2 linked regions of the Drosophila melanogaster genome follow. The protein of the gene in region 1 interacts with the protein of each later gene in a pairwise test. Each region holds a gene or a part of one and is shown on either strand. Other genes may lie near its edges.

Region 1 (5,761 bases):
AAACTTCCTAAATAGAAGCATTCATTAGATTACTTATTTTACAGTCGGGGTTTTTTTTTTAATGTCTATTAATGCTGCAGCATCTGACATGCGATAACACAGTTGTCCTTGACCTAGTTGTAGAACATAAACATAATAGATGCACATCAAAAATGTTTATTTATAAGATCGGTTAAGTTTTAATATGGCAACGTATGACAGACATTCGTAATACAAACTTGCGTAAATGCATTCAGGAGTTCGCAGTTTTATGATTATTTATCTGATTACATATTTTAGCCTTGGTATGTTTTCCCACTGGGGACGTGCGAGCGTATCTTGTTTAAATATTCTTTGGTCTATATTTATAATAATTAAACAAAAAAAAAAAAAATATCTAATTATAAAACAATACTTTCTTCGATGACTATAAATTTGATATACCTAGAGTTCAAATAAATATTTTAAATATACTTTGAGATCATCTTGAGATACTTGTTTACTCTTTGTTTCTCGCCTTTTGGCGATGTTCGTCTAATACTTCCCGCAATCGCTTGACGAAATTAGCTTGATCTCTCGGAATAAAGCCCAGGAAGGCGTTCCTCGGGGACGAATACAGCAGCATGATAACCTTGCAGACGACCTCGGAGGAAAATCGGGCACAGCCACAACTGCCGGCGGACATTGATGATGCTAGCGAGTCGTGTTCTTCTCCAGGTGTCGATCGGAGAATTATAAGTTTCGAGTCCTTTATAAACGCTCCGGCGAACTGACCAAGATAAATTGAAGGCATCAAAACCATAGGCATATCAGTTGGCCAATCCTCCGCACTGATCCCGGGATCACCGTTTTTTATAGCTATGTACACGGAACACTCAAGCTTGTGACTAATGCTTGGCTCCTCTAAACTTGCTTGTGTCGACCAATTCAGCGATCCAGTCCATAGGAGTTCATTTATAATGGCATCTTCCTCCACAGGAGGCGGTTCTTCTGGCTGTGGCTGCTTGGGTGTTTTGACGCCCGGCTTTCGTTTTGCACCCTGAAGAATCTCCTGCAGTCGTTCGCTAAACGAATCCTCATTGTTGGGTATGAAGCCAACCAAAGCTTGATGATCGCGCGAGTAGATGAGAATTAGAGCCTTGATGTTGCAGTTGGGATTGGAGGGGAAGTGGATGCAACCAGCGAAACCAGAGCTCATCGCCGTGATCAATAAATTGAGTACCTCTCCTTGGCTGGATCGGAATACAACCATCCTGGCATCCTTTAGGAATTGTTCGCCAATTTTACCCAGCACTTTTTTGGGTATCAGTTGTGTTTTCAGCTTGTTTGGCCAGTTCTCCGTGTTGATCTCCGGCTGACCTTCTTTAACCATGGAGCAGATTTTGCATTGGACCGTGTGCAGAGTCTTCGGTTGATCCAATATCTGTGCATCCTCCCATTCGAGCTCTCCACTCCAAATTGTTTCCTTTGAGTCACCATTTTCAGGATTTTCCGGTTCTTTTTGCAAAAGCAACGCCCCAATCATATGTGTTAGACAATCGAGTTCCCCTTCGTCATCACCCACTCCTCGGGCTTCCTCTGGAACCGGCTCCATGCCCCTTTCAAGATGCAATCTAATTAAATATGGATTTTGTCGGATAGGCAACTTGTCGGTTAAAAATTTGTTTATCTGTGATATGCTTCTTCTTGCTTTTAGCGGTTTGTTATTGGTATCGCACTATCGGTTGGCTGGTTGGTCGATTGGCGGCCATCGAGATGCAACGCAATGCAACCCTGGCCAATCACTCTCACTTCTTCTTCTGCGTTTGTGTCAAAACAAAATTAAAACTAAAAACTCGCTAAAACCGTCTCGCAGCGCAATTATCTTTAGACTTCGTGTTATTTATGTGTTTGAATGTTAGCGTCGGCACCCCGCATCCCAGTGTTCATAACCCCATGTGTGCCACCTTGGTTTAAATGCTACCAATCTCCTGGCAGAGTAGCGCGTCTGAGCGAATAAAAAAACTGAACATGTTTCGCTCCAAGCACTTGTGATTGACCAAATCTCATCTAAAGCCCTGCCATGCTGCAGTACAAGAGTGCCGCCAGTGCGGCGACTAGTGCGCCACCCGCCACGCCTTTGGCGGCAGGCGGTTCCAGCAAGGCGACGATTCCACCAAATGGAGCTAGTGCAGCAGCTTCACAAACGCAGGTTCACGGTGCTCCCGGGACACCAACCATGCAGCAGATCATCAACATTCACCAAATGCCTCCTCAGTTTGCAGGCGGAGCGGTTGCCGGGAACGGACAGAACGCTGGCATGCCCCAAAACATGTTCCAGATCGTACAGCCCATGCCCATGCAAACGGTGAACATTGATGGCCAGGAGGCCATCTTCATACCAAACCTCAATGCACAACTGGCCACCGCTCAGGCGGTCAACTTCAACGGGCAACAGGCCTTTATCACGCCCAACGGTCAAATTCTGCGGGCTCCCCAGATGGCAGCTAATCCGGCAGCCTCTAACTGCATTCAGCTGCAACAGCTGAACGGCTTGGGCCAGGAGCAAACCCAGCTGATCACCATACCCGGCACCAACATTCAAATACCCGTCACCAATCTCATTCAGCAACAACAGCAGGCACAACAAGTGCACCAGGGTACAGTGCAACAGCAGGCACAAGGAACAAATGCATCTGGAGCCAATGGATCGGGAGTTACCAATAGTGGGACAGCGGGTCAGCTGCCGGGCAGCATCACCATACCGGGCACAAACCTGCAGATACCAACCTCGGTAGCGGCGGCGAATGGATTGCTGGGAAACATCTCCAATATCTCCAATTTACTAGGCGGCGGGCAATCTATAAAGTTGGAGAACGGCCAATTGCAGATGCGGCCGCAACTGGTGCAGTTTCCGGCGCCAGCCATGCCGCAGCAGCAACAAACGGTTGCTGTGCAGATTCCCGTTCAGACTGCTAACGGACAGACCATCTACCAGACTGTACATGTGCCCGTCCAGGCAGCGGCAACATCGAGCGGCGGACTGCAAAACCTGATGCAGGCGCAATCCCTGCAGATGCCCTCCGCCTCGCAGATGCAAATCATCCCGCAGTTCTCACAGATAGCCCAGATTGTTACGCCCAACGGTCAGATTCAGCAGGTGCAACTGGCAATGCCGTATCCTCAGCTGCCTCCGAATGCCAACATTATACATATCCAGAATCCCCACCAGCAGCAGCAACAACAAGTACAACAACAACAACAGCAGCAGCAGGCGCAACAGCAGCAGCAAGCGCAACAGCAACAGGCACAGCAGCAGCAACAACAACAGGTCCAGGCGCAGCACCAGCAGCTCCTTCAGGCGATCAGCGATGCCTCGGCGGGGGGACAACTGCCGCCCAATCAGCCCATCACCATTACCAATGCCCAGGGCCAACAGCTGACCGTGATTCCCGCCCAACTACGCCCAAATGCGCCTACCGCACCCACTCCTGCTCCAGCTGGTGTGCCCACACCAATGCAGATGCCCAATCTTCAGGCTTTACCCATCCAGAACATCCCAGGCCTGGGTCAAGTGCAAATCATTCACGCCAATCAGCTGCCTCCTAATCTGCCAGCCAACTTCCAGCAAGTACTAACCCAACTACCCATGTCGCATCCTCAAGTGCAAACTCAGGGCCAAGTTCAGGTGATGCCCAAGCAGGAGCCGCAGAGTCCAACGCAAATGATCACCAGCATCAAGCAAGAGCCGCCGGATACCTTTGGACCCATTTCCGCAACTGGTAATCCTCCGGCACCTGCCTCTACTCCAAACACAGCCTCACCGCAACAGCAGCAGATCAAGTTCCTGCATACGGAAAGCAATTCCCTGTCCAGCCTGAGCATACCAGCCTCCATTCAGATCACAGCCCTGCCACAGCAAGCGACGAATACACCGAATACCCCAGCCACAACCCAACCAATTCCCGTATCGTTACCTGCAAGAAGTAAGGTCAACGCTGTGACCACGTCAAGCACCCAGATTACAATTGCGCCGACTGGTGGCCAAGTGGTGTCCGTCACGACGCAGGCTAGGGGAGCAACTGCCAGCATAAGGAGCACGAACACCAGCACGACGACTATAACAACGCCGTCACAAAGCCATCTCAATATGAACATAAGTGTGGCCAGCGTCGGAGGTGCTGCAACTGGCGGCGGCGGTGGAACAGCGACTGGAGAGCCCAAACCACGCTTAAAGCGAGTAGCCTGCACCTGTCCCAATTGTACAGATGGCGAAAAACACTCGGACAAGAAGCGCCAGCATATATGCCATATAACCGGCTGCCATAAGGTATACGGGAAAACTTCCCATCTAAGGGCTCACCTGCGTTGGCATACTGGCGAGCGACCATTTGTCTGCTCCTGGGCGTTTTGCGGCAAGCGCTTCACCCGCTCCGATGAACTGCAGCGCCACCGACGAACGCACACGGGAGAGAAGCGTTTCCAGTGCCAGGAGTGCAACAAAAAGTTCATGCGCAGCGATCACCTGTCGAAGCACATCAAGACGCACTTTAAGAGCCGCTCTGGCGTGGAGCTAATTGAGCTGAGCATCAAGCAGGAGACCAAGGGTGGCAATGCACCGAAAAGCATTAGCACGGTGAACGGCATTGTGACGATTGAGATTCCGGGCGGCGGTTCAGCGGCGGCGGGCAGTGGAGCCTCCAGTGTGGCGGCCACGGTTGCAGGCTCAACTGTGACGCCGGGCGGGGCCACGATCGTTCAGCTGCCGACTGTGGAGGCCAGCGGCGGGGGTGATAGTTTCGGCGATGATGAGGACGACGAGGAGGATGATGAATTGACCGAAGAGGACGACGAAGACGAGGAGCTCGACGAGGACGATATGGATGATTGCGAGGATGAGGAGGATGACGAGGATCCAGAACTAGACAGTGGCGATGAAGTGAAGATGACAATTGCGGTCAGTGAGCCTGGCGACAATTCGTCCAACTAGCATTCGGAGTCGCTGTTCATGGAACAGTTCTTGTTTGACCACTTCCCGTAGCACCCACCGCCCCCTGCCGCGCCCCATGGGACCATGGTTTAGCAATATATAAATTGTACATAGCGTAATTATGTAAAAGCGAGCATTTTAAATGTTTACCCTTCTTGTACAGCTCCGGTTGCGGATCATCCTAGATTAGTGTACATAGCTTAATCGACCATCGTATTTTAATTAAGATTTTTATTATACATTTTATAACATTTTTAGGGATTACATGTTTTTAATTAATTAACACCAATAAATGAAGAACTTTATATAGTTTAATATATGGACATCAGGCTATTGAGGTGACGTCGATCGGCTCAGATTCTGTATTTTGAAAAGTGATAGTTCCTTCCGAATCAATTGACGGTCCAATCGACAAGCTTTCCGAATTAATTTGATCACACCTTACCCAGCTCTCATTCATCTCTGTCTCTGGACAGTTTACCTGATCGTCAGGCTCTTGAGTCGACGTGGGTCGTACTAATGTGCTCAATTGGGTGCCAAACATATAGTAGTCCGGATCAGACTCCGTATTCCGGAAACTGTTATTTGCTTGCGAATTTATACATCCAGTCCGCATCCTTCCTAAATTAATTGGATCACATCTCACCGAATTCTCATTAATCTCTGTCTCTGGACGGTTGATGTTCTCATCCTGAAATCCTGACTGCTGCTGTTCGTCCTCATCGTCTCCGATGCCGCTAAGATCAGATGACGACACGCCTGGCGGAGCCATCGCTTCCACTTGAAAGTTCATTTGAGACAGTGAACTAAGAT
Region 2 (4,650 bases), on another chromosome or scaffold:
TCGAATTCCTAAATATTCCCGATGAATTCATTTGACTGCAACTTCCCTTAGATCGCGCCCAGAAACACCACCACCCCCCCCCCCTCTCCACCCTCCTGCCATTTTGCCCCACGAATTTGACGTCGTCTCATTAGTCACATTTAAAATTGTATTTAATTACTTTCTCACTTCATCATCAGTCAAGTCGGTGGGTCGGACGTCGCCTCGTCATTGGCGTTGCTCTTCTCCTCCTGGGCTGGCTGCCAGGGGGTGTATTCGTAGTCGTAGGGTAGCCTCCCCTACAGACACCCAGATACAGATACATATACATTAACAGATGCAGATACAGATACATGCCGCAGCGTTCGCGGCTTGTTTGTTTCACAGACAAGTCGGCCAAAATTGATATACTCAGCTGCACACAGGAAAATCAGTTCAAAATATAACTTACTTTACACACAAATAAATAATTTGAAGAATAAAAGTCATGAATTTTAATTTGCATCATTTAACTGAGTACCGTAGCGTATTTGTTTGCATGCATAAAAGTACATCCGATTTTCTTTCAGTGTCTGGATCCACTGCCGCTGCTCTTCGGCGGCGCTGCCTTTCATCAATTTCAAATTAGTGAAAATCGAGAAACGGAAATTATTTACTATCTGGATGGGTGGCTGGGTGCGAATGTGGATGTGGCTGTCTGTTGGATGGGTGGCAGCAGCAATCTATCCATCCATCTATCTACCGCCTTGGCCATTACAAGTGCAATTTATCTCGCAAATCATTAATCAACCTACCGTTTGCCTTTCCCTTTCCCCCTCCTTTCCCATCCATTCCCAGCCCACCCAACGCCTACCTTCACCCCCTACTTGGCAATTGTTTTTAGCCCGTTTTTGTGTACTTATTGGCAACAAATTTAAAAGGGCACAAACTTGGCCCCTCCCATTCGATTGGGAAAATCAACAGGACGATTCGGCGAATGAAAAGGGCGGCGCTCTTCAATTGAACCGCGCATAAAACTCGATTGAAAGATACGCCAGTGAGCCAATACAAGTGCGCAAAACTAAACACTAAGCTACAAAAGCTAGAAACAAAAAGGTTGTCATTTATTTAGTATCCAAAAGTCTTATTTACTTCCTAAAACGCGGGTAAACAACTGCACATATTATTAGTAATACATCATTATTAAAGTAACTTACTAAAAATATACATTTTATTCGAAAACAAAAGCACATAAACCTGTTAAATTGCGTTAACAAACGTGCTAGGCAGTGTATCTGCGTTTTCTGCCCACATTCTGCGGATACAGATACACGAGCACACCTCTGCCTCAGGTGTTCGTGTGTGTGTGAGTGTATCGGAATGAGCGAATAAGAAGGCGGCGTATTGCGCACACTCTCACACACACACGAATCGGGCATTGCATAGATTGCGATTACAATTTTAATTTAATTGACCACCTCCCCCACCCCCTCCCCTAACAAACGATGGAACGGCCATCCGATTGGCTGCGAACGAGTTCGGGGAACGAGTGTGAATTGGAACGTGCAATTCCATTCGTTCGATTTGAACGGCCGTTCCGGCAACATTTGGGAATGTTGCAGCAACTTGTTGCTATTGCTGTGAGATGGTGTCGGTGTCTTATTCGCCAGTTTCTTGTTCGCTACTCAGACCGATTTGAACTTTCGAGTGAACGAGACGAGTTCCGTGCGGTCGGATAACGGCTTTTCAAATGGACACATCACTGTAATTAGATAACGTCGCAATGTGGATTAATAACAATCGTGTTCTGTGTGTGTGAGCGTGTGAGCAGTAAAACTCTTGATCCATAATTAAAGTGAGAAGCATAGAAGTCACTAGGAACCAAATCGCACTAAACAACCGCAAGCAATTGCAAACAAACAGAAAGGCATAAATGCAAGTGAACGGTTCTTAAGCGCACTCTCCTGTTTCTGTTTTCCAACCAGAATAAAGTGCAAAGAGGATCGACGATCACAAGTAACGGTTCGCGCTCACAAAAAAAAAAAAGAAATCAAATGCTGGCCGCAAAGTAATGCCATATAGAAGCTAAAAACAACACAACAAAAGTGTGCTGTGCCAATTAAACTTCAGCTAAGGAAATAACATCAAAAGTATCAAAGGTCTGCGCAGGTCTTTGATCAACCGCAACATTCGTTATATTCGTCATATTCGTTATATTCGTGACATTCGAGCAGGGTGATCCAATTCGCCTCAATGCAACTGCGAGTGCACCCTACTATGGACTGTAGCGGTCGTTCAACCAGCAATATTGAACGCGATTCCGATCTGGGGGACGATTTGGTAAGAAAAGGAACTTTGTAACACCCAATATGCACCTCTACAGTAACGCCCGAAGTTATTATTATTATAAAGGATTATTATCTTCTTTGAAAAATTGATGTGACAAGCACTAATCAGCTTGGCATTAAAATAAATGTCATACATTCAAGTAATAAACTTAATTGGCATAATCATTCTCAGTAGAAGTATCCAGGTGAAAAGTATGTCAGTAAGTGCCGCTAAATTACCTCTTTATTATCACATCGTAAAACACTGATATGAAATATACAAATGAATTATGTAAACAAACATGTAGCATTGAAATACAAATAATGAAGAAATATACGGAATTCATGGTTATTGCTAACAATCAGCTACTGATGGAAACTCATTCATTTTCCGATAATAATTCTCAGAAGCATTTCGAAGTATTATTATTATTTTTACCAAATGAAATTTGTCAAGCACAAAAATTAATAAGATAACCCACCTTTCATCTATCCATCATATATGTATGTATAGAATCTGTTTTGTTTTTTTCGCGACCGTCTGGTAATTTGAGTTACTAATGCATCAATATCCATTTGCCACGCGAAAAATAGTATTAAGTCTTGACACTGATGGGCCAAGATACCCTATTCAGTCTAAAAAAAATGAAATACCCATTTGCCGTCGGCACTTAGAGGAAATCCTTACCCAAATGCCCAAAAGCGATCGCTTTTTGGCCATAATGATCTCTTGTTTGGGTAGCAACTTATACTTCAGCTTTGTTTTCTGCTGTCGTGCTCGAAAAGGCAAAGGCAATTCCTGCAACCGACTCACATTGTTTGCAGATGATTCAAAACGTAATTATAATGTTAAAAAAATATGTTTATTCAATCGGGGAATGGGAGATTCAAAACGGAGGGAGCTGGCTCTTTTGGCTTTTTGGCGTTTCAGTTTGCCGGAGAGCCGTTAAAAGGTGACATGCTAAATGGTCGCATACAAGACGATTGTGTTGTAGCGACACACTCACGTCCAGCGCGATATACACTCACACGTTGATCGAGCTAAGTGCATGGCACACTCATAAACACAAATAGATTCATCTGTTTTGGTCCCACAAAACCGAGCGATCGGCGTACCGACATCCCGAGATCGTTCACAATTTCCACCGATTGAAAGAGATCTTTCAATCCAAGCTCTTTGATGGCGTTCATATGTAAATAGATTGTTCAAATATTTGCATTATTTGTTAGTACCTTAAATGAATATTAAATGGGTTTTATTGCCTTTCAGGCCTTTCGGCCATTCGCTTTCAGGTATGCAGCTTCATCTCCATCTCCATCTCCATCTCATCGCGACTTCTTCAATTCAATAAAACTCTTGTTAGTCTTTTCCTGCCCCTTTGTTTTCCTTTCATTTTTATTATTGTTAATAGACATTGCCGGCTCGATCAACAATGAGCCAGACTTTATACACTCACTCACTGGCCGGCCGGTCGGTCTGGCTATTTACATAATAATTTTTAATAGCCTCGCTTTTGGCCAAGAAGCGAAGGCGGCGGAGACGCAATGGGCTGTGCAAACAGCGACTGAATCTCGGCTCTCCAGGCCGGCCTATTCGTCATCCCCCCGGATCGATGCCGATGCGATGTGTGCTCCTTGTGGGCCTGGACTGGTGTTAATTGCGGGTCTCTCAATTGAGGGTCCGCATGTGGGTGCTGTGCTGTCTAATTAACCCCACTGCGATCCGGACCGACATGCTGGTGTCATTCGCACATCCGATCCGCAGTTCTATTCAAATCAAATCCTGCCACCGCCACTCGCCGCTCGCATTTTCAATTTTAGCCCGAAAGTCACGATTAAACAATAATGTGGGCTGTCAAAAAGTCATAAATTCTCGAATGAAACCCAGTCCCAGCGAAGAAGTCGTGCCCAATGGTCCATGGTATATGGTCCAATGCCCAAATGCCCAAATGCCCAATGCCCAGTATCGTCATCCGAGCAGCACTTTAATTACATGGGTTAAACGCAGAGTTTAAAATTATTGCCGAATTGTTGTCTGTAATTTTTGAATCGTTTTTAAATTAAATCAAGCCGGCGAACATGACTCGAGACAATTGGCTTCCGATTCCTCCTCCAGCGCCGGAGCAGCTGGTGGATTCACTCCGAGCGCTGCACGTGCTCCAGGCGCAGTTCCCACATTAAATCATACCGGCCTTGGGTTGGGGGAATCCCCCCAAAAAAAAATCTCAGTGGTGGTTAACTGGTGCCGCTGCTGGTGTTTGCACTGATTCACACTCCGGCTCCGATTCCGATTCGGCCAGCGTCGTTTTCCACATTTATTTATGACCGCTTCAGTGCGCCAAGCCAGAAATTTTGGAAGAGTTGT

The links. The genes of interacting proteins can lie anywhere in the genome.
Region 2: the proteins of Spps (region 1) and retn interact in a two-hybrid assay, tested with the Drosophila melanogaster proteins (one large-scale study listed by BioGRID).

Annotation. Positions count from the first base shown.
Region 1 is NT_033777.3:24,222,936-24,228,696, reverse strand, and holds Spps (Sp1-like factor for pairing sensitive-silencing), read left to right. Parts: upstream 1-1,762; 5' UTR 1,763-2,041; coding exon 2,042-4,948; coding exon of another isoform or gene 4,949-4,999; 3' UTR 5,000-5,252; downstream 5,253-5,761. Other genes in the region: CG13609 (uncharacterized protein), read right to left, coding at 479-1,573; cav (caravaggio), read right to left, coding at 5,274-5,761.
Region 2 is NT_033778.4:23,630,967-23,635,616, forward strand, and holds the start of retn (retained), read left to right. Parts: upstream 1-1,643; 5' UTR 1,644-2,211; coding exon 2,212-2,298; intron 2,299-4,650. UniProt on the Drosophila melanogaster protein: Transcription factor which is a downstream target of gcm and repo. Directly or indirectly activates the transcription of locos and pros, which are essential for the development of some glial cells.